Canis lupus familiaris: one gene and its partners. The protein of the gene in region 3 purifies or fractionates together with the protein of the main gene of each other region. This does not show direct contact. Links are inferred from orthologs where the notes say so. Each region holds a gene or a part of one and is shown on either strand. Other genes may lie near its edges.

Evidence for each region.
Region 1: the proteins of MAGOH (region 3) and SF3B1 purify together in Homo sapiens (co-immunoprecipitation; 3 studies listed by BioGRID and IntAct, with this or other methods). This does not show direct contact. The link is inferred for Canis lupus familiaris from reciprocal best matches to the Homo sapiens genes MAGOH and SF3B1.
Region 2: the proteins of MAGOH (region 3) and RNPS1 purify together in Homo sapiens (co-immunoprecipitation; 3 studies listed by BioGRID and IntAct, with this or other methods). This does not show direct contact. The link is inferred for Canis lupus familiaris from reciprocal best matches to the Homo sapiens genes MAGOH and RNPS1.

Annotation. Positions count from the first base shown.
Region 1 is NC_049258.1:6,836,784-6,844,765, forward strand, and holds the start of SF3B1 (splicing factor 3B subunit 1), read right to left. Parts: upstream 5,160-7,982; 5' UTR 5,029-5,159; coding exon 5,001-5,028; intron 1-5,000. UniProt on the Homo sapiens protein: Component of the 17S U2 SnRNP complex of the spliceosome, a large ribonucleoprotein complex that removes introns from transcribed pre-mRNAs.
Region 2 is NC_049227.1:39,162,037-39,169,762, reverse strand, and holds the start of RNPS1 (RNA-binding protein with serine-rich domain 1), read right to left. Parts: upstream 5,160-7,726; 5' UTR 5,022-5,159; coding exon of another isoform or gene 5,020-5,021; intron 4,501-5,019; exon of another isoform or gene 4,482-4,500; intron 2,408-4,481; 5' UTR 2,291-2,407; coding exon 2,220-2,290; intron 1,981-2,219; coding exon 1,825-1,980; intron 1,185-1,824; coding exon 993-1,184; intron 679-992; coding exon 576-678; intron 295-575; coding exon 141-294; intron 1-140. UniProt on the Homo sapiens protein: Part of pre- and post-splicing multiprotein mRNP complexes. Auxiliary component of the splicing-dependent multiprotein exon junction complex (EJC) deposited at splice junction on mRNAs.
Region 3 is NC_049226.1:56,146,888-56,154,708, reverse strand, and holds the start of MAGOH (protein mago nashi homolog), read right to left. Parts: upstream 4,269-7,821; 5' UTR 4,139-4,268; coding exon 4,051-4,138; intron 1,420-4,050; coding exon 1,361-1,419; intron 100-1,360; coding exon 1-99. UniProt on the Homo sapiens protein: Required for pre-mRNA splicing as component of the spliceosome. Plays a redundant role with MAGOHB as core component of the exon junction complex (EJC) and in the nonsense-mediated decay (NMD) pathway.

The DNA of each region.
Region 1 (7,982 bases), on a different chromosome or scaffold from region 3:
CCATTTCTGCAAGTAGTGAGCAAGGATTTCCCACATATAACACCTCTAAAAGTCATCCAGAAAATACCAAGTGGGGTTCTGTATCCCAACTTTCATCCTTTTCCTTAAACAGAACTCCAACCAGAAAATTAACTATAGTGGTAAATTATTTTACTGAACACTAAAGGTATCAATTCCTAAGTGATTAATCCCTAATTAGCATTACTTAAATCTAGTATTAAATAATCAGAAAAGAAAAACCTTTTAAAAAATCTTTAAGCGGGGCAGCCTGGGCGGCTCAGCGGTTTAGCGCCGCCTTCAGCCCAGGGCGTGATCCTGGAGACCTGGGACTGAGGCCCACGTCAGGCTCCCTGATGGAACCTGCTTCTCCTTCTGCCTGTGCCTCTGCTTCTCTCTCTCTCATGAATAAATAAAATCTTTAAAAAATAAATCTTTAAACAATTGCTTTCCTTTTTATTTTTACTAACAACATGCACACTGGAAGTCTACAAAACCAAACAGTAAGTATTCTGAACACAGAAAAATAAAAATCTCAGAAAATGAATACCATGACTATTCCCAGACAAAGCAAAATTAAGGGAAATAAACTTTTCAGCTTTGTGATGCTCTCCAAAAATCCATTCAAGAGGCACTGGCAGGGCAGCCCCAGTGGCTCAGCGGTTTAGCGCTGCCTTCGGCCCAGGTTGTGATCAAGTCCCACGTCAGGCTCCGAGCATGGAGCCTGTTTCTCCCTCTGCCTGTGTCTCTGCCTCTCTCTCTGATGAATAAATAAATAAAATCTTAAAAAAAAAAAAAAAAGGCACTGGCAGAACAAGCCATTAAATTTAAGGATAATTCATTTTTCCCTTCCCCTTCGCAAGAGAAAAAAAGTGTGCTCCTTGTCTGTCAAAGTCAACAACATGTGAACTGCTGAACAGCAAGATTATGCACAGTAGTAACTGTATATTTTGACACAACTAAACATGCCAAAAGGTTCAAAAGATTTTATTGATGTGAACCCGTCCAGTTCTTTTTATTTTATTTTATTTTTTATTTTTTATTTATGATAGTCACAGAGAGAGAGAGAGAGAGAGAGAGAGAGGCAGAGACATAGGAAGAGGGAGAAGCAGGCTCCAAGCACCGGGAGCCCGACGTGGGATTCGATCCCGGGTCTCCAGGATCACGCCCTGGACCAAAGGCAGGTGCCAAACCGCTGCGCCACCCAGGGATCCCCTTTTTATCTTTCAATACTGGAAAATGTGACCCACCAGGGTAAAAAACAATCAGGTTGCTTAAAAAAGGATATTAAGGGCTGATCGTAACAGAAATATGAAAAAGGACTATGACAGCATAAAAACAAAAACAAGTTATCAGTTTGGCTCAATGATACTTAACTAATAACCTGTGAAAACAACATATAGGAAGGTACAATTACCTAGATCACTTTGAATACAATATTAATTTACAAAATTCAAGTAAAAATTACTGATGCAGCAATTACTCTAAAACTAAATTACAGGGATCCCTGGGGGGCTCAGCGGTAGAGCATCTGCCTTTGGCTCAGGGCATGATCCTGGAGTTACGGGATCAAGTCCCACATCAGGCTCCCTTCAGGGAGCCTGCTTCTCTCTCTGCCTGCGTCTCTGCCTTCTCTGTCTCTCACGAATAAACAAATAAAATCTTTTTTAAAAATACAACAAAGAAAAAAATACAACAAAGAAAACTCCTTACTAGCAATATTACTTAGGATAAAAAGATTATATAATCTTCTTAAAAAAGCAACAAGATGGGGTGCCTGGGTGGCTCAGTCAGTTGAGCGTCAGCCTTCAGCTCAGGTCATAATTTTGGGGTTGAGCCCACATTACAGCTTCCTGTTCAGTGGGGAGTCTGCTTCTCCCTTATCCTCTGCTTCTCCCCGTTTGTGCAGTTTGTGCTCCCTCTGTCTCTTATTCCCTTTCTCAAATAAAATCTTAAAAAAAAAAAAAAAGACCATAGCTTAAAAAAACCACACACACACCACATGATGATGGACAACTCTAAAACAAAAATCAAAGAATATACATTTTTAAAGTTACTACAGTGAGGTTCAAACTCAAGCCTAGCTTAAGAATTGCTGCTCTTACTGCCACTCTTCAACACTGCAACTAAAGACTTTCCCAAAATGCAGAAATAACTTGTCACCTGGGAGAAGTAGGTACTTTATTCTGTAGTCACTGGAAAGCCAAGTCAAGCCTAACTTAGAGTTCAAAGCTTTCTTTAATTTGATGCAAACCTTTCTTCCTCTCAGCGCAGAAGGTTCCCAATACATTAACAAGTCCTACTTCCCACCTACCTCAGCCAAACAATGTATCCAAACCTACCCAATCATTCAAAAGTGAGTTTAAGCGGCCCCTTTCTGTGAAACTTTTAATATTTCCAATATAATCTCTCAATAAATGTTAATACTCAGTACTCATTAGGCATTAGGTACTGGGGATACCAAGAAATAGTTCCTGTACACATCAGTCTCAACGTGGATAAGAAAACCTTGGGCAGCCCGGGTGGCTCAGCAGTTTGGCGCCGCCTTCCACCCAGTGCGTGATCCTGGAGACCCGGGATGGAGTCCCACGTCAGGCTCCCTGCATGGAGCCTGCTTCTCCCTCTGCCTGTGTCTCTGCCTCTCTCTCTCTCTCTCATGAATAAATATTTTTTAAAAAACCTTAACACAATAGAATATTCTAGTATAATAAAGAGCTACAGTAGCACCTAGGTAAGTAAATAAATAAATAAATAAATAAATAAACCCACCAAGAAATCTGCTCCAGGCTATCAGAGATGACTTATTAAGGGAAAAGAGAAGAGATGCACCATGAACCATTCCAGATCTTTAGGAAAGTATCTCTATGTAAATATTATGCATATTTCCACTAAACATTGATCATCCTTTACCAAAAACTCACAGTGACAGACTGTCTTATACACAGTGCTGTTGTTAACTGAATACTGCTATACTTTCTTTATAGCATCAGTTAATTCATACTGTAGCAAGATTCCAAATAAAAAAGCAAACTTGGCCAATCAACTTCAATCTTCTATAGACCAAAGCTTTTAATTGAGTCTCAAAAAAGCAGGAAACCTGATCCAAACCTTGATTTCCCTGTCCAAAAGTATCTTTATGATTAAAAATATCAACAAACAAGTGATCAAAGCCACAAACTGCCCCCAATGAACAGCCTACTCCTGAATAAACAAGAGCAACATCTTCAGTTTCTAATTATTTTGCAAAAGGTTACATCCGGATTAGTCTAAAGACAGAAGAGTAAGTGCCTAAACAACCTTCAGGGCTAAAACAGTGTTTAAATCCTAAATACCGGGCAGCCCGGGTGGCTCGGCGGCTTGGTGCCTGCCTTTGGCCCTGGGCGTGATCCTGGGGTTCCGGGATCGAGTCCCGCATCAGGCTCCCTGTGGGGGAGCCTGCCTCTCCCTCTGCCTGTGTCTCTGCCTCTCTTTCTCTGTGTCTCTCATGAATAAATAAATAAAATAAAATATATATCTCATATAAAATAAAAAATATCTCATGAATAAATAAAAAAATATAAAAAATAATAATAAAATAAATAAATAAATCCTAAATACCTACCCCCACAACGAGAAGAGTATTAAAGTCACTGCCCATTAATTAGCATGTCGCAGAGAGCTGGACTTCAGTTCTGGCGGGGAACACAATTATTCCAGGGCATTCACATCCTGGTCCCAACCAACCTTTCCAGATTCGCCTACACTTTCCCTCCCTGCAGCGCCACAGTCCACTACTCAAACACACTTTTCAGGACTCCTTGCCTCGTTACAAGATGTCCTCTCAGGCTCAAATGTCCTCCCCTAATTTAAAACGGATTGATCCGTTTAGGCCAGGGACACGTCACCTCCTCTATGGAAGAGTCCTACCTAGGCAGGAATTAATCACTCCGTTACCCAGAATCCCAGAACATGCGGCCTGTATTTCTATTTAAGCGTTAATTTGCCTCATGAAAGAATGAAAACGTATACACACACACACACCTGTCTCCCCAGGAGCCTGTAAAACTTTGCACGGCCTTACTCTTTGTTACTTCGGACTCACACGGAGCCAGCACCTGGAAACGACCCGTGAAAATACAAATGACTCCTGGAAGCCTCCCGTTCGACGAACGCTTCAGATTCCAGGTCAGAAAAAAAAAAAAAAAATCCTAAGGAACGCGCCTCCCAATGCCCATGCCTCATCTTCTCTGAAGTGACCCTATTTCCTGTCATTTCTGGAAACTGGATACTCCCTCAAGAACTCCGGCTTATTCTCAGCATTTTCCTAAATTCCGTGTTCTCCGAATTCCACAAAACGATCAGGTACCTCGAAAGCTTTGACCGCTGGGAATAATAACGTGCCTTTCCCTCTTCCACCAATCATCAGTCTCCAAGGGGGGGGGGTGGGGAACAAACACCAATATACAAGTGATCACGGGAAGAAAAAACTACCAGATTTTATGTCCAAATCACTTCATACAAAAAAAAAAAAAAAAGTATTTTAGATGCCTGATTAGCCGAGACGAAGAGGAACGGGCCTCAAGCAGGCTACGCTCGAGTTGGCGCTGCCGAAAAGCGGCTGCCGTGTTCCCGGGCTCCCCCGACTCCCCCGGGCACGAACTGCGCCCGCCACAGTTCCGTGAGGCGAGGGCGACTCCCGGCTTTCACGCCCGTTTCCCCGATTCGCGGCCCTGGCCTCCCCCCCGGCGAGCCGTCTGAACGAGGCCTTCCGCTCGGAAAAGAGAAGCAACTCTGAAGGAACAGGACCCAAACGCGGAACAAAGCGCCTGCCCGCGGTGGAGGAGTAGGACGCCATTACGTGGGGCAGTGGCCTGCGCCGCTAGCGCCGAGGAGCCGACCAGGGCCCCCACGCGCGGGCGCGGCACCCCACCAACGAAACCACAGGCCGAGGCAAAAACCGAGTAAAATCGAGTCTTGGCAGGCTGGCAGCAGAGAAGACGCGGGAGCACGGGAAGACGCCTTACCTTCGTGGGTCTTGGCGATCTTCGCCATTTTGTCCACTCGAACACACAGACGGAACTGGCGCTCCCCAGCACTTCCGCTCGCCGCCGCTGCCACGGAGAAAAATAGCTGGGGAATGCTCTCTGCGCGTGCGCCAAGCGGGGGCGCGCGCCGCCGCGCGACACGTGACGGAGCAGCCGCCTAGAGGGAACAGAGCGATGCATTGTGGGGGAGGGGGAGGAGCCAGGGCCCGGCGCGGAGGCGGTTTTCGCGGTGGCGGGAGGAGGAGGGCTAAGCGAGTCCTGACGCGGGGGCGGGGGCGGGGGCGACGGCGACTGCTCTGGAGGGAAGTGGGTTGTGCGAGGACCCGCTGATAGTCACTGCGAGAGACGCTGGATTTCAGGCCCGTCCGAAGCCTCAGGCCGTCAGTTCTCGTCCTCCACGTCGAGCGGAGGTGTGTCGGTGCCAGGCGAGAGCTCCTGTGGCGTCTCTCAGCGGCTGCAGTGGGTAGTTGTGGAGACACACACCAGTCACGTCCTTCGCGCTGAAATTCAAGGTCATTTTTCTTTCTTCTTAAAGAATTACTTGCCATTTGGGTAGGAGTTTCGTGCACAACATTATTATTTCCAGACACTGTTGTACCTCACAAACAACCCAGGAAAGTGGGCGAGTTGTTGCTAATCCCATTTAAGAAAGGAGAGGAAAACTAGGGCGGGGGTGTAAATAAAATATGCAAGGTCACACCCTTACTGAATTACCCGGGAGGAACTGTGCCGTCCTTTTTTAAAGCCTTTTAATTTCATAGGTTCTTAGAAAACCACTGGCTGTCAGCATTAACACTGATGGAATGCCTTTCTTTTTTTTTTAATTTTTATTTATTTATTTATGATAGACACACAGTGAGAAAGAGAGAGAGGCAGAGACACAGGCAGAGGGAGAAGCAGGCTCCATGCAGGGAGCCCGACGTGGGATTCGATCCCGGGTCTCCAGGATCGCGCCCTGGGCCAAAGGCAGGCGCCAAACCGCTGCGCCACCGAGGGATCCCTGGAATGCCTCTCTTAATCCTAAATGTCACTCTTGAATCAGGAATTTTTAAAAGCTCCAAATATGGCTTTTCTTTTTTTTTTTTTGCCTACTCCTCAATTACAAAAGCATAATTTTGAACTGCCACACTGGCCTTGGACTTTAGGATTAAAAAAGAACATAACTTTGAGGGGAAGTTGGTACAGGAAGCAGCCTAAGGAAACAGGTAAGGATTAAGGTTAGAGCTATCACCAAAAACGTTTGCCTGGCTGTGTAACAGGATCACAACATGAGTATTTAGTAGAAACTTTAGTAACAAAAATGGGACTTAGTATCAATGAAAAAAATCAATTTGATGAGAGAAAATTTTCAATTTTCAATTGTTTTAATTTAGGTTAAACAATAGTTGAGGGAGGAAAGGGTTAAGAGAACATGTAGATTGTTTTTTTAAAAAAAGATTTTATTCATGAGAGATAGACACAGGCAGAGGGAGAAGTAGGCCCCCTGCAGGGAGTCTGACATGGGACTGGATCCCAGGGACCACAGGGGTCACGACCTGAGCTGAAGGCAGACACTCAACCCCTGAGCCATGCAGGCGTCCCAAGAACATGTAATTTTATGAATTATTGGTAAACTCTAGTTGTTGAATTGGCAGAGTGCCCACAGATATTCCTTACATAGTTTATAACCTACACATAGATTGCACATATTCTTTTATATATATAAAATAGCATGTTTTAAAATAATGAAAAAAGGATGAATGGGAAATAAAGAATTACAGAAGGGTGTTATGATCCATCAATAATCAACAATCTAAAAAAATCCATGTTGACAAAAAGAATCACAAGGACATGGCATTTCTTGGCTCTTATTTAAAAATAGGAAGAAAAAAAAGAAAAAAGAAGAAAGGTAAATTTGTATATACAAGACAATCACTGTCCTGTCAAAATATATGCAAAGGAAATTCACCAAAGTGTTAATAGTGGATGCCTATGACTGGTGAAATTATGAACTTTAAAAATAATTTTTAGTATTTTCCAGATACTTTGCTATAAGCACATTTTTATAATACACAAAAGGAATATATTAAAAGATGGAATGCCTGGCCAGCTCAGTTGAAAGAACATGCGACTCTTAATCTCACAGTGGTAAATTTGAGCCCCACATTGGGTGTACAGATTTCTAGAAATAAACTATATTTAAAAAAAAAAAAATGAAAAGCATGTGCAAAGGTGTCACATGTCCTTTTCATTCTAAGATAGAAGCTGCATCTGCTGGCCACTTTGTATTATTACATGCATATTTCTCTAGGTTACTAGGTATTAAGTTAACTTTTGTAAGTTTTTTTTTTTTAATTTATTTATTCAGAGAGAGAGAGAGAGAGAGACCAAGAGGCAGAGACACAGGCAGAGGGAGAAGCAGGCTCCATGCAGGGAGCCCGACACGGGACTCGATTCCGGGTCTCCAGGATCAGACCCCGGGCTGAAGGCGGCGCTAAACCGCTGTGCCACCGGGGGTGCCCTTAAGTTAACTTTTGTAAGGCAAAGGCCCTATGGAATAGTGAGGAAAGAGAAAATTTGCCAAAGGAGATTCCCTTCTTTTAGTCTTCTAAAGACTAATTTATCTTTAATAAAACAATGACTTGGACATTCAGACAGGAAGTAAGTTTTTCAACAAGTACCTTTTACTTTCCACTTTCAATATTAATAAATAATACTCAGATATCATTTAAAATACATTTCCTGCCCTTTTCTGGTGAAACTTTTTGTTTCAAAAATTAGAAAAGGTGATCTGGTCTTTTGTAATCTAGACAATTAACAGTGATGTCATCCAATGTCTTTTTTTTTTTTTTTTTTTTTTTTTTAATTTACTCACGGAAGACAGAGAGAGAGGCAGGCGCCATGCAGGGAGCCCAACGTGGAACTCCATCCCAGGTCTCCAGGATCATACCCTGGGCTGAAGGCGGCGCTAAACCACTGAGC
Region 2 (7,726 bases), on a different chromosome or scaffold from region 3:
AGAATCCTAAGAGCTCCAGGGAGACTGTGATGTGCAGCCAGGTTGGAAATCAGTTCTAAAGTTCCCTATGTGTGGCAGGTAGCTTGTCCTGCATAGGGAATAGAGAAGGGAGCTCAGAGAGGGCTGGCAAGGTCACTCACCTCCATCCATGTGCTTCAGTGCCTTCTCGGCTTCATCTGGATTCTCAAACTCCACGTATGCATAGCCTTTAGACAGATGGGGGTGCATCCTTTCTACAGGCATGTCAATCATTTTAATCTTCCCATAGGTGGAGAATATCTCCATGATGTGGTCCTAGAGCAAAGACAGGTCACTCTGATGCATACTCACAACTACCCATGTGGGAACTGAAAATGCACGACACATCAATAGCCTTGGCACCTGGGGTTAAGTTTCTCACACAGGGTCACCCTGAGGGAGTTACTGCTCCCCTTGACAAACGCTCTGGTCAGGCCCTGGAAAGCCTATGCCCTCAGTTCACCTGAGGCTGAGGCCTGCTTCTCTAGTTTTCCATTTAAAACATATGTAGAATAGACATATCCCACTGCCCACTGGACAGATCCAGGATCCCTCACCTTGGTCACATTCCTGGTGAGCCTCCCGATGTGTACTTTGGTGGGTTTAGGGGAAGGACTCCGCCTTTTCCTTTCCTTTTCATCTCTTTTGGGTGGTTTGGATCTGATTGAAGAAACAAAACACCAGAAACAATCAATTTCTGTCAAAATTTTTTAGTGGGGCTGCTAATTGCTACTAAGATAGTTTTTATAAGGAAGCCTTCCCCTACCAGTTCATGTATTTCATATTAGCTCTGCTTCAGAAATCCTACTAAAATAGAAAGACTCCTTTTTAGATCTACTTCTATAGTAACAAGAATAACTTTATCGTCCCCCATTTGTGAACTTAGTTTCCCAGATAATTCACAAGTTTTGAGGGCAATCCCTTCCCAACCAAGGCACTCCTGAGTTGAGAAGAGGTGCTGGAAAGGAGCTTACTTGGAGCGGGAACGCCTCCTGTTGTCATGCCTACGCCTAGAAGGACTGGGTGAGCCAGAGGAGCTGCTGGAGCTGGAACTGCGAGATGTGCTGGAACTTCCTGAGCGGCTAGAGGCTGAGGAAGAGCTGGAGCCACTGCTGGAGCCTGTGCTGGTGCTGGAGCCTGAGCTGGAGGTAGAGCTGGACCGGGACCTGACAAATGAGACGGTGAGGTCAGGGGCAACAGTGCACGAGAGTATTTCTTCCCACACATGAGCCCATACTTGCTCCTATTCCCAAGAGGTAAATGTCCTCCCATTTCCAAGCTTCAATGTCTCCCCTCCTCGGAGGGCCCCACTCCTGCCCAGCTGAAACCCCAGGTAGGGACAGAAAATCACACTGTGCAGTGACAGGAAAGAGCCACCTCCTAGCCATACAGGAGCCTCACCTACTGGGAGGCACAGAGTCTGGCAAACCAGAAGCACCAGCCCTGCCTGGATGGTAGCTACCCAGGGACTCGGGCTGGTTTTCAACTGAGGGAAAAATAAGCTTTAGGCTAGAGCAATCCAATCACAACTCTAAACAAAAAAACACTCGAGAGAAACTTATACCCCAAGATGTCCCAGTCTTTAACATCTCCAGAAAACACCTCAACACCATCTTCCATATGTAACCAGAGCAAACTCAAACCACTCTGCCATAATCCAGGCCTTGATGAACCACCTCAGAGTATGTTGGTAAATTACGAAGACCACAGAGCACCCTGCCAGCTCCCTGGGAAGGGAAAGGGGCGTGGCCACAGAAGAGAAGCCCTCTCGGGTGCTCAGGGGTGCTCTGTCCTGCCGGGTCCCACCTGGTGCTGCTGCTACCACTGGAAGCGCTGCGCCTCTTCCGAGTTTTATCCCTGCCACGATCCTTCTCACTTGACTCCTTGGTGGCCCCTTTATCTTTAGAACGATCCTTGGACTTCTCATCAGAACGGTCTTTGCGTTTGGTAGGAGAAGGAGCCCTGGATGGTGAGGAAGAGTGTGAGATCGCATGCCCCTCTGACCAAACCCTAAAACAAAACTACCCAAAAGAGGGGATCCAAAGGGCTATAGAGATCCCAGGTGATCACAGAGCAAAATGATCTGTGGCTTAAGACACGTCACTGTAGAACGTAAGTCATTTCCATTCTTCCCCTTGCTGAGGGTCCCTAGTAATGAGCACCCCCAAAGTAGCACTAGAAAAATCTGACAGAAGGATTACCTAGTGCTGGACTTTTTATTATTTTCTTTGACTCCTAGCAAGCTCTTCTTTTTCACTCCTGATAAATCCATTCTCCCCTTCTGAGGTGTTCAAAGCAGCAATGGTGGCCTCACTTATCTGAACTCTCACTTCTAACTCGAGTCTGAGAAACGATCCCTAATCGATTGCAATTTACGCCAAAGTGCAGCCTAATAACAAGATAAAAGGATTTACAGAGTGAACGAGTTGGCAAGGCAACAAATCTACTTTGCAGTCAAAAGGTGAGCACACAAGATGGCAAGGAACACAGTAAGCAGCGAGCGTCCACAAAGCCAGGAACATATGGGATCTCCTCCATTTCCTCAGGGAGGGTCTTGCCCCCACAGGTAGACCTTCACCTCACCTTGTTGTTTTTTCCTTAAGGAAAGGGTGGTAGTGCCTGTCACTGTTCTTTTACAGGTGGTACAATACCTGTTTTTCACTCCTAAGTTTGATAAGCCCTTTACCATTCCCTTAGAAATGTTACAACACCACATTTGCATGCAGAACAGAAGAGTCAAGTGTGGCTCTCCTGATAGGATCACTGGTGTGATTAGATCTCAGGTTTTACTGCTGCAATTTCTTTGTAGGATACATCGAACATACCATGACTAGAATCAAAAACCATTTCAAAAGTGACAAGTACCAGCATCTAAACATTAACACCCAAATGCAAACAGATAAAATGTCCCATAAGAACACTGAAAAAGTAGTAAAATAGTTAAGTTAGAAAGCAATCATTGCAAATGCTGAACTTTAATTAATGATATGCACATGGAAGCGTCATGGGGAAAGTACACCAAAGCCTGCTATTTACTTCAAAATGCAACAAAAAACGTGGATGGGCGATCTGTTCTATGACAAAGCAAATATGGCAGAAATGTAACTTGTAGGTTCTACGTGGTGGTTATGCGGGTATTCACTGGAACTGGAGGGCACTGCTCCTAAGGGTCTCACCAAGTGCCCGCACCACAGCATGAGTTGTGAGTGGTCAGTGTAACCACCAAACCATCATGTGCCTGGTCTCCTGGGGGACTCGCGACCTTCATTTTTTCCAGGGAGGTTTTTCTACAATTTGCTTGAGCTGCAAGCGAAGATTGCAGAATGGTGGTGTCAACTCCTCCTGTCTCATCTTCAACAGCCTGTCAGTAACATCGACATGGCAACCACCCGGGATCCTGTTCTCACATGTGAAGGGGTGTGCAAAATGCTAAATGAATGTCGTGACTCAAGAAAGGAGGCCAGCTTTGGACAATCAAATTAGAGCAGAAGCAAGCAGGGTGTCACCTTTGAGGCTCCTCTCCAGGCTGGTACAATCTTTTAAGACGTTTTGCCTTGGAACAGTAAGGTAGTAAGCAAGCAGCACTGGATGGAGTCAGTGGCCTTGGACAACCAGGAAGTACGGTCCAGTGGGCAGGAATCTGGAGTCAGCCTGCCTGTCTGATTCCAAGCTCTGCTTTGGGACCGGGGCTAAGTCCCACAGCTGTTCTGAGTCTCCACCTCTCATCAGCGTTTTGGGGGATACAGCTCCTACACCTCCGTAGTTACCAAGATCACCAACCCAGTTTACTCACATGGAAGGAAACTTGGCATCTAGTTAGGGCTCAATTAAATGCCCGCTCATGTTACAAGACAGGGGTGCTCCTCCCCGTGTGCAGGCTTTCCCCTACATAAACTCTTGTTTCCCAAAGGCCCACACGATCTCCTGAATGCTGGACGGCCCGTTAAGAGGATCACCCAGGGCGGCCCTGTCCCAGGAGAAGAGCGTGAGCTGCCGGCACGTCCTCAAGCACTCCAGCAGCCCCGTTACACAAGGAGGTTAACGAGGGATCCAGCCAAGTATTGACACCCCACGCCCCCAATACCATCTCTCCAACGTACAGGCAGTGAAGACCCACCCGTGATACACTTACTCCCCCGCGGGCGCCAGACCTCTCCAACACCTCCACCCGGCCCAGGCCCGGGCCCAGGCTCAGGCTCAGGCCCAGGCCGGGCCGCCCGCCTGCCGGGGCAGCACCCACGGCAGGGCGCACCCCCGGGCCCCACCCCAGGGCCCTCCGACCACCAGCACCACCCGAAGCCCCGGACTCTAAGCGCTGCGGGCGCGGCCGGGCCTGGGGAGCAGAGCCCGCGGCGCTCTGTCCACACAAGTTCGGGTCGCGGCACAGGACCTGGGTTACCTCCCCCATCCTCCGGACAGGTGCGCGTCCAACAGCCAGAGAGAGAGAGAACAGTTAGTCACACCTCGAGCAGATGGCGTTCGGCCCCGTCCTCGGGGCACCTTCCCCACTTAAAAAGCACGTTTTTGGCACAAGTCATGCGACAGCCAAGAAGGGCCGCGGCCTCCCTTCCTTCCCGCGCCCCCCTCGTGGGGCGGCCCGCCCGCCCGCGCGGCAGCGGCGCGGTCCCCGCGCCTCCCGGGCCCCCCACGGGGCAACTCCACCCACGCCGCCCCCGTCCGCCGGCGCCCGCAACTCCCAGCCCAGGGCCGGCCCGAGGGCGGCTCCGAATCCCGCGGGCCTTGCCGGGGCCGCCGCAGGGGGAGGGGGCCGACGTGAGCGCCCTTCCGCCCGCCGCGGCCCCGACCACTTCCGGGCCGCGGCCTCGGCGCCTCCCACTCCGCCAGCCCCGGGCCACACTCTTTCTTCTCGCGCCCGCTGTCGCGCCGCCGGGCCGCCGTCCCTACCAAGAGGCCGAGGGGCGGGCCGGCTCCACCACGCGCCCCGCCGAGCCTTGCGGGCGGCCCCCGGAGCTCGGATGGGGTCGGATTCCCCCAACTTACATCTTCCCGCCGCCGCCACCTCCGCCCGCTCTCCTCAGCCTCGAAGGCCGGCGCCGCTCTGGCGTCAGGATTAGGGAGCGGGAAGGCGCTGCTCTCCGGCGCGCGGCGATGACGTGACCGCCTCAGCCAATGGAGGGAGCGAAGGGAGTGTTAAAGGGCCCCGGCCGTTCCCGACGGGCCGCGTCGGGGCCTCGTCTTCTGTCTCCCCCGCGAGGCGGGGATCTGGGGCGACCCTGGGCCGGCTGCGTGCCGCAGGGGGCCGGCCGACTGCTGGGGGCGGGAGGGCCGCGCAGGGCGGGCGGCTCCGGGCCGGCGCCGAGGGGGTTAACGCAGCGGCGGCCCCGCCCCCCCGTTGCGCGTGCGCACTGGACTAGCAGCCCGGGTTCCCGCTCCAGCGCGCGGGGCGGCGGGGGCGGTGAGGTGGGCGGCGGGGACAGTGCGGTGGCTGGCGGGGGCCGGCGGGGGCAGTGCGGGGACCGGAGGGGACGGTGCGGGGCAGGGCGGGGGCGGGGCGGGGCAGTGCGGGACAGTGCGCGGCCCGACGGGGGCAGTGCGGGGGTGCTGAGGGCTGTGTGGCCTCTGGCTGCGGACTGTGGGGTCTCGCGGGGCGCCAGCTGCCCAGAGAGCTGGGCAGGAGAGGTGCGGAGTGCCCACGCGGTCGTTGGCCCTGAGCGTGGACAGGGGCAGTGCTGCCATCGCAGTGGGGAGCGAAAGACCGGATAGAAGAGAAGTTGCGAAAGGGCAAGCACCCCGGAGGAGGAGGGGGCACTGCGCCAGACCAAGACCCGAGGGGAAGGAGGCGCCCGGTGAGGGAGCAGCAGGTGCAGGGGCACGAAGGGGGCTCGTTGAGGGGAGGCCAGGGGGCGACTCGCAGGCCAGGGCCGGGCAGGTGAGGTTCGGGTGCCGAGCGGGAGCCTGTGCAGCACCCCCCCACCCCCACCCCCACCCCACACCTCGCGGGGGACAGTGCAGGCAGGGAGGCGGACTCCTCTGTTGAAGTACGGCCCGGGCCAGGCAGGAGGCTGGGAAGAGTAAAAGCCGCGCCGAGAGGGCCAGAGCTTTCGGGGTGTGTTCCCCGAGGTGTCTCCCACGGAGTCCCTGCCCCAGTCTGGCTACCGGTGGTTACCCCAGGACTGAGTGGGAGGAGGGAAGGTGCACCCTGCCCCAGTGGCTGTCTGCACAGGTAGGTGCATCAAGGAGGAGAAGGGAACAGATCCAAAGCAGATCTCTTGGAGGAAGGAGCTGTGGTGACTTGGAGATGGATTAGCTGCCGGGGCGGGGGCAGGAGAGTCCGGGTTGCAGTGTGGTGACCAGGGATGGATGGACAGACTGTGGACACCGTCTGCAGGCCATTGCTCTCTGCTCTGTATGGTTTTCCCAGCACATGGATGGTGACGCCCTTTCCTGTGCAGCTCCTCTAGCCTGGTCTGGTGGGTCAGTGTACCCCTATACCTGATGGAGGGGTGTCTGAGAGTCACCAGCAAAAGAGCAGGGAAAAAGCAGTTGCCTCCTGAGTCCCTGTTTGCTAAGACACCAGGACGCTCTTGGAGAATGAGCTGGGTTGGCAGGCAGAGTGGGTCTGAGCGCAGGTCCTCCCTTTGGATTTAGATCTGCCCTAGAGTTGTGGGGGTCCATTTAGAGCAACTTAAATTCTCTGCCTCATTGTTACCGCTGCCATGGCCAGGTGTGGAGGAGTAAGTGGGAATGGGGGACAGTCCCGGCTCGGCACTGCAGCAGTGAAGGGGCCCAGAGGGTCAGCACTGGGGGTGGGGTGGACTTGGTGGTCCAGGCCTATAGCCAGTGGAGGTCTGTGAGGAGGCCGTGGCAGCCTGTCAGCTGCACACGCCTGGCCCAATCATTGGTGCGTTCCTGAGGGCCTTGATCCGGAGCCTTTGCCCAGCCCTGCGTGGTGCCAACACCCTAGGTGGGGGAGCAGGCCAGGGGCCAGGAGCTCCATGTGGCCATATGGGGGTGGGGACAACCAGCTGGGCTGACAACCCCTTGTGTCTTTTTAAAATGTGCTAAACTGATAGAACTTGGCATGCATGTAAATTTTAACATGTTTTATATTAAATCTAAAGCATGATTTATTCAGACACATAAATTTAATCATATTTGTTTCTAAATATTATAGATCTTTGTTATCAAGTGTGTTATCAGCTGTTGAGCTTTAAAACTTGAGCATCTTGTCTTGTGCCATTTTGAAGATGAACAGAATGTGTTTGGAAGAAACAAGAAGTAAAAACTGGAGGCCCTGGCCGTCCAGGGGTTCTGGCTTCCCCCTTCCTATGCCCCTGTGCTAACCCACCCAGGCCCTGGAGGGGAGGACTGGGAGGCTGGGTCCCCAGGAAGCTTTTTTTTTTTTTTCCAAGATTTTATTTATTTATTCATGATAGACATAGAGAGAGGGGTGGGGAGCAGAGACACAGGCAGAGGGAGAAGCAGGCTCCAAGCAGGGACCCTGATGCAGGACTCGATCCCAGGACTCCAGGATCACGGGCCTGGACCAAAGGCAGGCGCCAAACCACAGAGCCACCCGGGGATCCCCTCCCCGGGAAGCTCCGAAGGACTGTGGAGCAGGTGTGATGGTGGGGCTGGGGCAGGGCCCTGCGGACGGGGCGTTCAGCGGCCAGCCCAGGCCTGGAGCGCCAGAGCACAGGCATCCTGCAGGCTCTGCCGGTGTCCTGAGCCCCGGGGCTGAAGGCCA
Region 3 (7,821 bases):
TCGATCCGGGGGAGGCCACAAGGCATCATCCTCTTTGGTAATTTCACTGTCATCAATTATTCTCTTCAGTTCCTCCATTACACTTTTATGTACATAAGCCTGAAAGCAAATTAAAAAATGGAATTTAACTTGCATCCCTAAGCAAGTGTTCTGACTCAGATAATGATTAAAGATTAAAAAGAAAAAAAAAAAAAAACCTGCTAATAAAAACTGGTCTCTGGCACCACTGTAAGGTAGATGGCATTCAGGTGTGACCTCAGCATGCTCAAGAGGGCAGGGCCAGAAGTGCCCAGTGACTATACATCATACCCCATCTACCGGTTTCTACTTCTTGGCACATCCTGTTCACTTGGAACTTCTCCTTGCTTACAGACTGAATTCACACCTGAACCCAGAACAAAAGATCTGTGAGTGAACCCTGGTTATTCCTACCGAGATGACATGCTTATGAAGACCAGAGACACATCTTTTAAAATACATTTTGTATATCAGTCCACACATAAAATATATATGTATATAAGCAGGCTGAGACATGTGGGTAAACATAAAACTGAATGCTAGTTAAACATAACAGTATGAAGATATAGTAACTGTTAAGACATTTTCAAATGTGACAAAGTGGTTAAAAGGAAAGAGAAGCTTTGATGAAGCCTCAATAGTGAGGCAGAAATTAAGCAAAATAGAGCACATGGACTTGACAGAGGCAGGCATAGCTTTGAATTCCCACTCTATCTCTTGCTCGTCAGGATGAGGTGACTTTGAACAAGCCCCATAATTAACATCTGGGCCTTCATTGTAAAGGGTATATAATACCGCTAATCAAAAAGGCTTACAATCAGGGTGAAATAAAATCATATGTAAAACACCAAGTGCCAAGCCTGGCATCTAACCTGCATTCAATGATGTGAACTGCTTTCCCATGTTCCCTTTCCCCCATCCAAATGCAAATTAAAGAGCTCTTCTGAAAGCTATGCACCAGGAAATACACAAAACACTTTAGGTATAATGTATTTAATTCTGTGATAGCACTGGGGGGGGGGGGGGGGGCAGGTTAATTATATCTGTTTCTGCAGACAAAGAAACTAAAACTTATCAAGCCAGGTTATTTGCCCAGGGGCATAGAGTAAATAGCAGATTCAGGGTTTAAACCAAGATTTGCAAGACTTTAAATGATTACAAAAGTGGTTTAACATTGTAAAAGAAAATATAAACTAAAAGATGTGAGAAAAATTTTAGAAGGTGTCTATAGATATGTCTATACTTCTCTATTCTTTTTCAATACTACTTACTCCCAGAAAGAACAAAAACATGACAAAAGGCTAAATTGTAGTGAAAGAAAGGCTCTCAGAAGGCTCATTACCTCTTTTCTGATCATGACATCATTTTTGTAATTGCTGTTGTTGGCATATCTCAATTTCCCTGTGAGGAGCGAAAAAACAAATTCAGTGTATATTAAAAACGTATAAATAAAGCTTCATTAGCTCACCAAGACTATCAGCTGTTGCTTAAAATGTATCCTAGCTTTCCCCTCAGCGTCTACCAGATTTACTATTCAAACTTCTGATGTTCCAACAATAGCAGTCTTTCAGTTCTTTATTTTCGGCTATTAAGTAGCTTCAAAGCCAGAATATTGCTGACATTGAATTATAATTCTTGCAAAAGGCAGCTCAGGTGTGATAAAAGAACATAAGCAGAACATTGTGACTCTGGCAAATCATATCTCTGCAGGTTAATGTCCTCAGCTGAAAACAGGGATAGTGATGGTAACTTACTTGCACATAAGGCCTCCTGAGGCTCAGATGAATTGTGAAAGCAGTTTGAAAATTGTAAAATGCTGTTTACATATTATTCATGTGACCATGCAATACTCTGATCTATTCCTATGGTGGAAAAGTTTTGGTTTTATTATTAAGCATATTTGGTATACAAGGCCTTTTGTGTGTATATGCATCCAAAAGGCTATATGCTAGATATGAAGGAAAAGAAGAGAAAAGGAAATAGATGAATTTTTACCTTTGGGATTACACATGTAAAAAGAGCCAGATTAATTGATGCCTCACTGCACTCACTATCTCTGCCTTGTCTCTCTTGGTTCAGTTCATTCTCCATACGGTAGACAAAGTGATGTAGTAACAGACCAATCTAATTAGGTTACTCTAATACTTTTTTTTTTTGGTAAGATTTTATTAATTCATGACAGATGCAGAGAGAGAGACAGAGACATAGGCAGAGGGAGAAGCAGGCTCTCCTTCAGGGAGCCCAATGCAGGTCTCGATTCCAGGCCCCCAGGACCATGACCTGAGCCAAAGGCAGACGCTCAACTACTTAACCACCCAGGTGCCCCAGGTTACTCTAACACTTTGATAATGACAATAGCTTCTCACTGCCTTCTTTTTTTTTTTTTTTTAATTTTTATTTATTTATGATAGTCACACAGAGAGAGAGAGGCAGAGACACAGGCAGAGGGAGAAGCAGGCTCCATGCACTGGGAGCCTGACATGGGACTCGATCTCGGGTCTCCAGGATAGTGCCCTGGGCCAAAGGCAGGCGCTAAACTGCTGGCACCACCCAGGGATCCCTTCTCACTGCCTTCTTGATAAAAATCCAAATTCTTCAACATGGCATAACTGCTAAGCTGAGCCCCTGCCTGCCTTTCAGGCTCCCTCCTGCAATAGTCCACTCTTACACAGCTGGAGTTAACCACCTTACTTGGTTTCTGCTTGAAACATCCCATGCACTTTTTGGTTTTCAGCTTCTTTGATGTTGATGTCCAAATGCCTAACCAACTCCTGCACATTACTAAGACTATCACTCCTCTTCCCCCAAGTCATTTTATGCAGGAAGCTTTCTCCCATCCTCAGGCTACCTGAGGGTTAGGTTAGGTTGCCTTCTTTCTGCTCCAGAGTCCCTTCCGTTTCTTTGTACCACAGCATCAAACACACTATCCTATCATTGTTTGTTTACAACTGGGGCTTGTCAGATTCATCTTTGTGCCCCCATTTAGTGGGAGGTTTTTTATTTTTTATTTTTGTCATCTTTGATTCCTTTTCCTCCCCACAGTGGTCCTTCCCCCAGATCTTATCAAACAGCAACGTCCTATTGGTTCTGCCTCCAACAGTATCCTGAACCCTTCTATGCGCTTTTGATAGTACCTTAGTCCCAACCAGCATCCTTTTTACCTTGACAACTGTTCACTGTCTCCTAATAAGTTGCCCTGTCTCCACTCTTGCAATGATTAGAATAGATTACTTTTTCTAATCATTACTCTATTTCTAATCATACTCCATGATTAGAATACTTTTTCAGGAAGAGATCACATCTCTTCTCTCCTTAAAACTTTCCAGTTGCTTCCTGCTGCACTTAGAATAAAATCCAAACTCTCCACCATGGCCTGTAAAGACCTACATGGTGTACCCCTGCTTATCTGACATTGTCTCCTACTATTCTCCTCGGAGCTCACTACTTCCTCAGCCATACTGGCCACTTGGAACATGCTCGTTCATGCCCCAAAGCCTTAACACTTGTTACTCCCTCTGTCCAAAATGCCCTTCTTCCCGAGCTTCACAAAGCTGGCTCTCCTTCTTGTCACTTAGGATTCAGTTCAAATACTACCTTTCCAGAGAGCACGCCAGTGGCCACTCTGCTTAAAAGCAGTCCACTTTTTAGCAATTACTCCATCGTTTTGTTTCATGCTCTGACCACTCGTCATTATCTGAAATCTTTGTTTGTTTATATCTCTCCCAGCACCAGAATATATACGCTATGAGAGGAAACTTGTCCCAAATTGTGAAAGAGAGCCTGGCACAAAGTATGCAATCAGTGTCTGCTGAATGAAGCATTCTAGTTAAAAAAAAAAAAAAAAAAAAAAAAGTTCGTGCACATGGGAAGAACCAGCGGAGCGGTCACAGGAGTGGCCCTTTCAGATCCGCGCCGCAGTCATCAGTCCCGTCCTCTCCTAGCTCCTCCTCGCACATTCCGGAGCCCGGGCCTCCCCGCTCGCCCGACCCCAGGCCCCGTCCTCGCTCGGCCGGGGCCAGAGGCCGCTCTTACCGTCGGGCCGGAACTCAAACTCCAGGAACTCATGGCCGAACTTGCCCTTGTGACCCACGTAGTAACGCAGATAAAAGTCACTCTCCATGGTTCATAAGGAGGCAACGGAGACGAAACTTGACCAGCAAACCTCGTCGCCGCGCTGTGCGCCCAACACTGACGTTTACCGGGGCGCGCGGATGTGACGTCAAGGCGAGGCTGCCGGTCGCTGCGAAGCGGCCCAGGCCGTCTGCGTTCCCGGAAGTGGCGGCAAGTCTGGCGCATCCCCCGGCGGAAACCAGAGCCCCGTCGCCCGGAGGCGGGGTCAGCGCAGCCCCGCCCCCTCGGCCGCCGGCGGGAGCGCGGCCACGGGTCGCCCCCGGGTTTCCCGAGGCTCGAGGCCGCAGGCGACGCGAGGGCGCCCGGGCTTGGGCGGCGGGTCTGGGGACCCTGCTTCACGACGTCCGGCTGAGCTCCGCGAGGGCTGCGCCCCAGGCTCGACCTCCGTGTGCGTGGGCCCAACGTGGGCGAGCCCGAGACAGCTGTTCACCGTCGGTGATGAAGGAGCTGACCCCACGGACCGCCGCACGCGCTGGCGCGTGGGTCAGAAGTTGGCTCCGGCCGAACTTTGCTCACGGAAACGCTCCCCACAGACGCCTTTCCTGAATCCGTGGTGCCGCTGCCGTTTCCCTGGAACTGACCTCTCCCTTTTATCCCTTTTACTTTTACTTTTTTTTTTTTTTTTAATTCCTACCTTTCCCTTTCTACTTAACTGGTCTCTAGAGCAGGTGCTGCGGGTAGAGGTTAAACTGGATATGGAATTTCCCCTTCTCGTTTTCTAGGCTCTGCTTACCCGGCAGGGATTCTCCGACCTGGCTGCACAACGGAGTCATTCGGGAGCATCTTAAAAATACTGATGCTTGGGCCCCACCCCAAACCAGACAATCAGGTTCTCTCGCCGCCCTGAACCTGGGCGTTGGTACTTTTTTGCAAACCCCCCCCGCCCCCCCCCCCCCGCCCCAGATGAACAACGGGGCAGGACTGATGCCCAAGAGCCCCTTGTCCTTTCAGGCCAAATTGGTTGACCTCTGTGAAGTCTTTCAGGCTGTGGAAAATTTTCCTCCTTGAGTAGGCAAAGGACAGTCAAAACCCTAATTATTAGGAAACTGCATTAGTTCGTGGAAGTTCCAGTGAGAGCAGGGAATTGTGAAATCAGGTCTAGAGACCGTGCTAAGATGGCATCATTCTGGGGGCCTGACCACTGTAATTGTATACTGTTCTTCATTGAGGTCAGTGGCCTCTTGATTCTCATTCCCAGTCTTAGCATTACTCCTTTTCTTCCCCCCAAAAATAACTGGTGTAGAGTGGGTGTGAAGAGGGAAAATCACTGGAAGCTTGTGTTAAAATAATCCTTGTGTGATTTGATTCGCTATGATCGAAGGTGTGAACTAACCTTCCACGCCACAGTCATCAGTCCCTTCCTCTCCTAGGATCAGTGAATCTCGAGGTTCACTCAAGTTTATCTTTAAAATGAGGGACAAAAAAATAAAATAAAAATAAAAAATAAAATGAGGGACGCCTGGGTGGCTCAGTGGTTGAGCGTCTGTCTGCTTTTGGCTCAGGGCATGATCCTGGAGTCCCGGGATCGAGTCCCGCATCGGGTTCCCTGCATGGAGCCTACTTCTCCCTCTGCCTGTGTCTCTGCCTCTCTCTCTCTCTCTGTCTCTCATAAAGTCTTTAAAAATAATAATAAAAAATAAAATGAGAAAAATAATGTTATACATCTGGCAGGACTGTTGTAAGAATAGAAAACAAAATCTTGGAAATTGGAAAAATACTTTGCCAACTGTAAATTGCTATAAAACTATAGGGTGTTTTATTTAAACACACACACACACACACACACACTGGGGGACACCTGACTGGCTCAGTTGGTTGAGCATTAGACTCTTGATTTTGGCTCAGGTCATGATCTTGAGGTCCCGGGATCAAACCCTATGTTGGGCCCTCCCCCTCCTCCCAAGCAGGGAGTCCACTTGGGATTCCCTCTCTCTCCCTTTCCTGCTGCCCCTCCCCCTCTAATAAATGAATAAATCTTTAAAAAAAGAAAGCATGGGATATGGGTGGTAACAAGGGAATTGTATGAAAAAGAGAAGGGAACCACGAGGTATTAAGCACCTAATAAATGTGAATCCATTTACAAATGCTTATTCTTTGAATCCTCACAACAGTCTTGAGGCGGTAATTCAATTAAGTATATAGATTCATCAGGTAATTACCACGAAGTTATTTTCCAAGAGTGAACTTATAAAAATTATACTGTTAACTGTTGAATCTGGGCATCTGCAGATGTGGCAAATATCAAACGTTTTGAGAAAACTTAAAGGAACTGGACACCAGTCAGACTGGATCCAGGTTTGGGGGCATGAGACAACATGGTATAGCTGAAAGAACATGGTCTGTGCACTTATTGTTATGTGCTGGGAATAATACAATGGTGAACAAGACAGACCTTTATAGAACTTGCAGAGGAAGCAGTTGAGCATACAAGCAATTATAATGTAGAAGCAACGGTTACAAATAGAGGAAGCACAGACTACTATGGAAGCACATGGGATGGCTCCTAATCCAATCTAGGGGCCTAAGGGAAGTCTTCCTGAAGGAAATGTTCCAGATAGAGGGCCCAGAACTGTGTGGTTGGAATACAGAATGAAGTTGTGAATATAGTAATGAAGTTGGAGAAGGGACAGAAACCAAATGGCTTACAAGGCATATTAAACTAGAATATGGGCCAAAACTCAAAGGTATTGGATTTTAACGCAAGGGAAACAGATGAAGAACTTTAAGCAGGACAATAGAAAGGCTGGTGGTGACGTGACCTCTTGCCTTCTAGAAAAAAAATCACTCTAGCTGCAATATTGGTAGGAAGTTGCTAATAATGATGATCACCCAAGATAATGGTAATGGAGATGATAAACGTGGATGGATTCGTAAGGGGTGGGCAAAGGAGATTAAGATGTGGCCGGAGAGGTAAGGAAAAACCAGGAATATGGTGTCATGTGCGCCAAAATAAGAGTACTCTAAGGTGTGCCAACGGTGTTAGATACTGCTTCCAGGTCAAGGAAGAGAAAGACTGAAACTGTAAGATTTGTAATCAAGGGATACCCGGAGTGGCTCAGGGTAAACGTTTAGCGCCGCCTTCGGCCCAGGGCGTGATCCTGGAGGCCCAGGATCGAGTCCTGCGTCGGTCTCCCTGCCTGGAGCCTGCTTCCCCCTCTGCTCGTGTCTCTGCCTCTCTCTGTGTCTGTCATGGATAAAGAAAAAATAAAATCTTTAAAAAAAAATTGTAGGGATCCCTGGGTGGCGCAGCGGTTTGGCGCCTGCCTTTGGCCCAGGGCGTGATCCTGGAGACCCGGGATCGAATCCCATATCAGGCTCCCGATGCATGGAGCCTGCTTCTCCCTCTGCCTGTGTCTCTGCCTCTCTCTCTCTCTCTCTCTCTATCATAAGTAAATAAATAAAAATTAAAAAAAAAAGAAAAAAAAAAAAAGAAAAAATAAAAAAAAATTGTAATCAAGGAAGTCCCAAGGGACCTTGGTGAAAGCAGCCTCGGAGGCATAGAAGTAGAGGCGAGGCAGAAGTACTGGTATGCAAATAGGCAGAATTTGTTATGGAAGCAGAAATTACCCAACCCTGCGGGTTAGGTCTGAGTCTAAGAGAATGGAGGATTTGTGAAGGAACAGTCCTACGCAATATCAAGGACAAGCAAAAATTAGACGGAGAGGCGGAGGA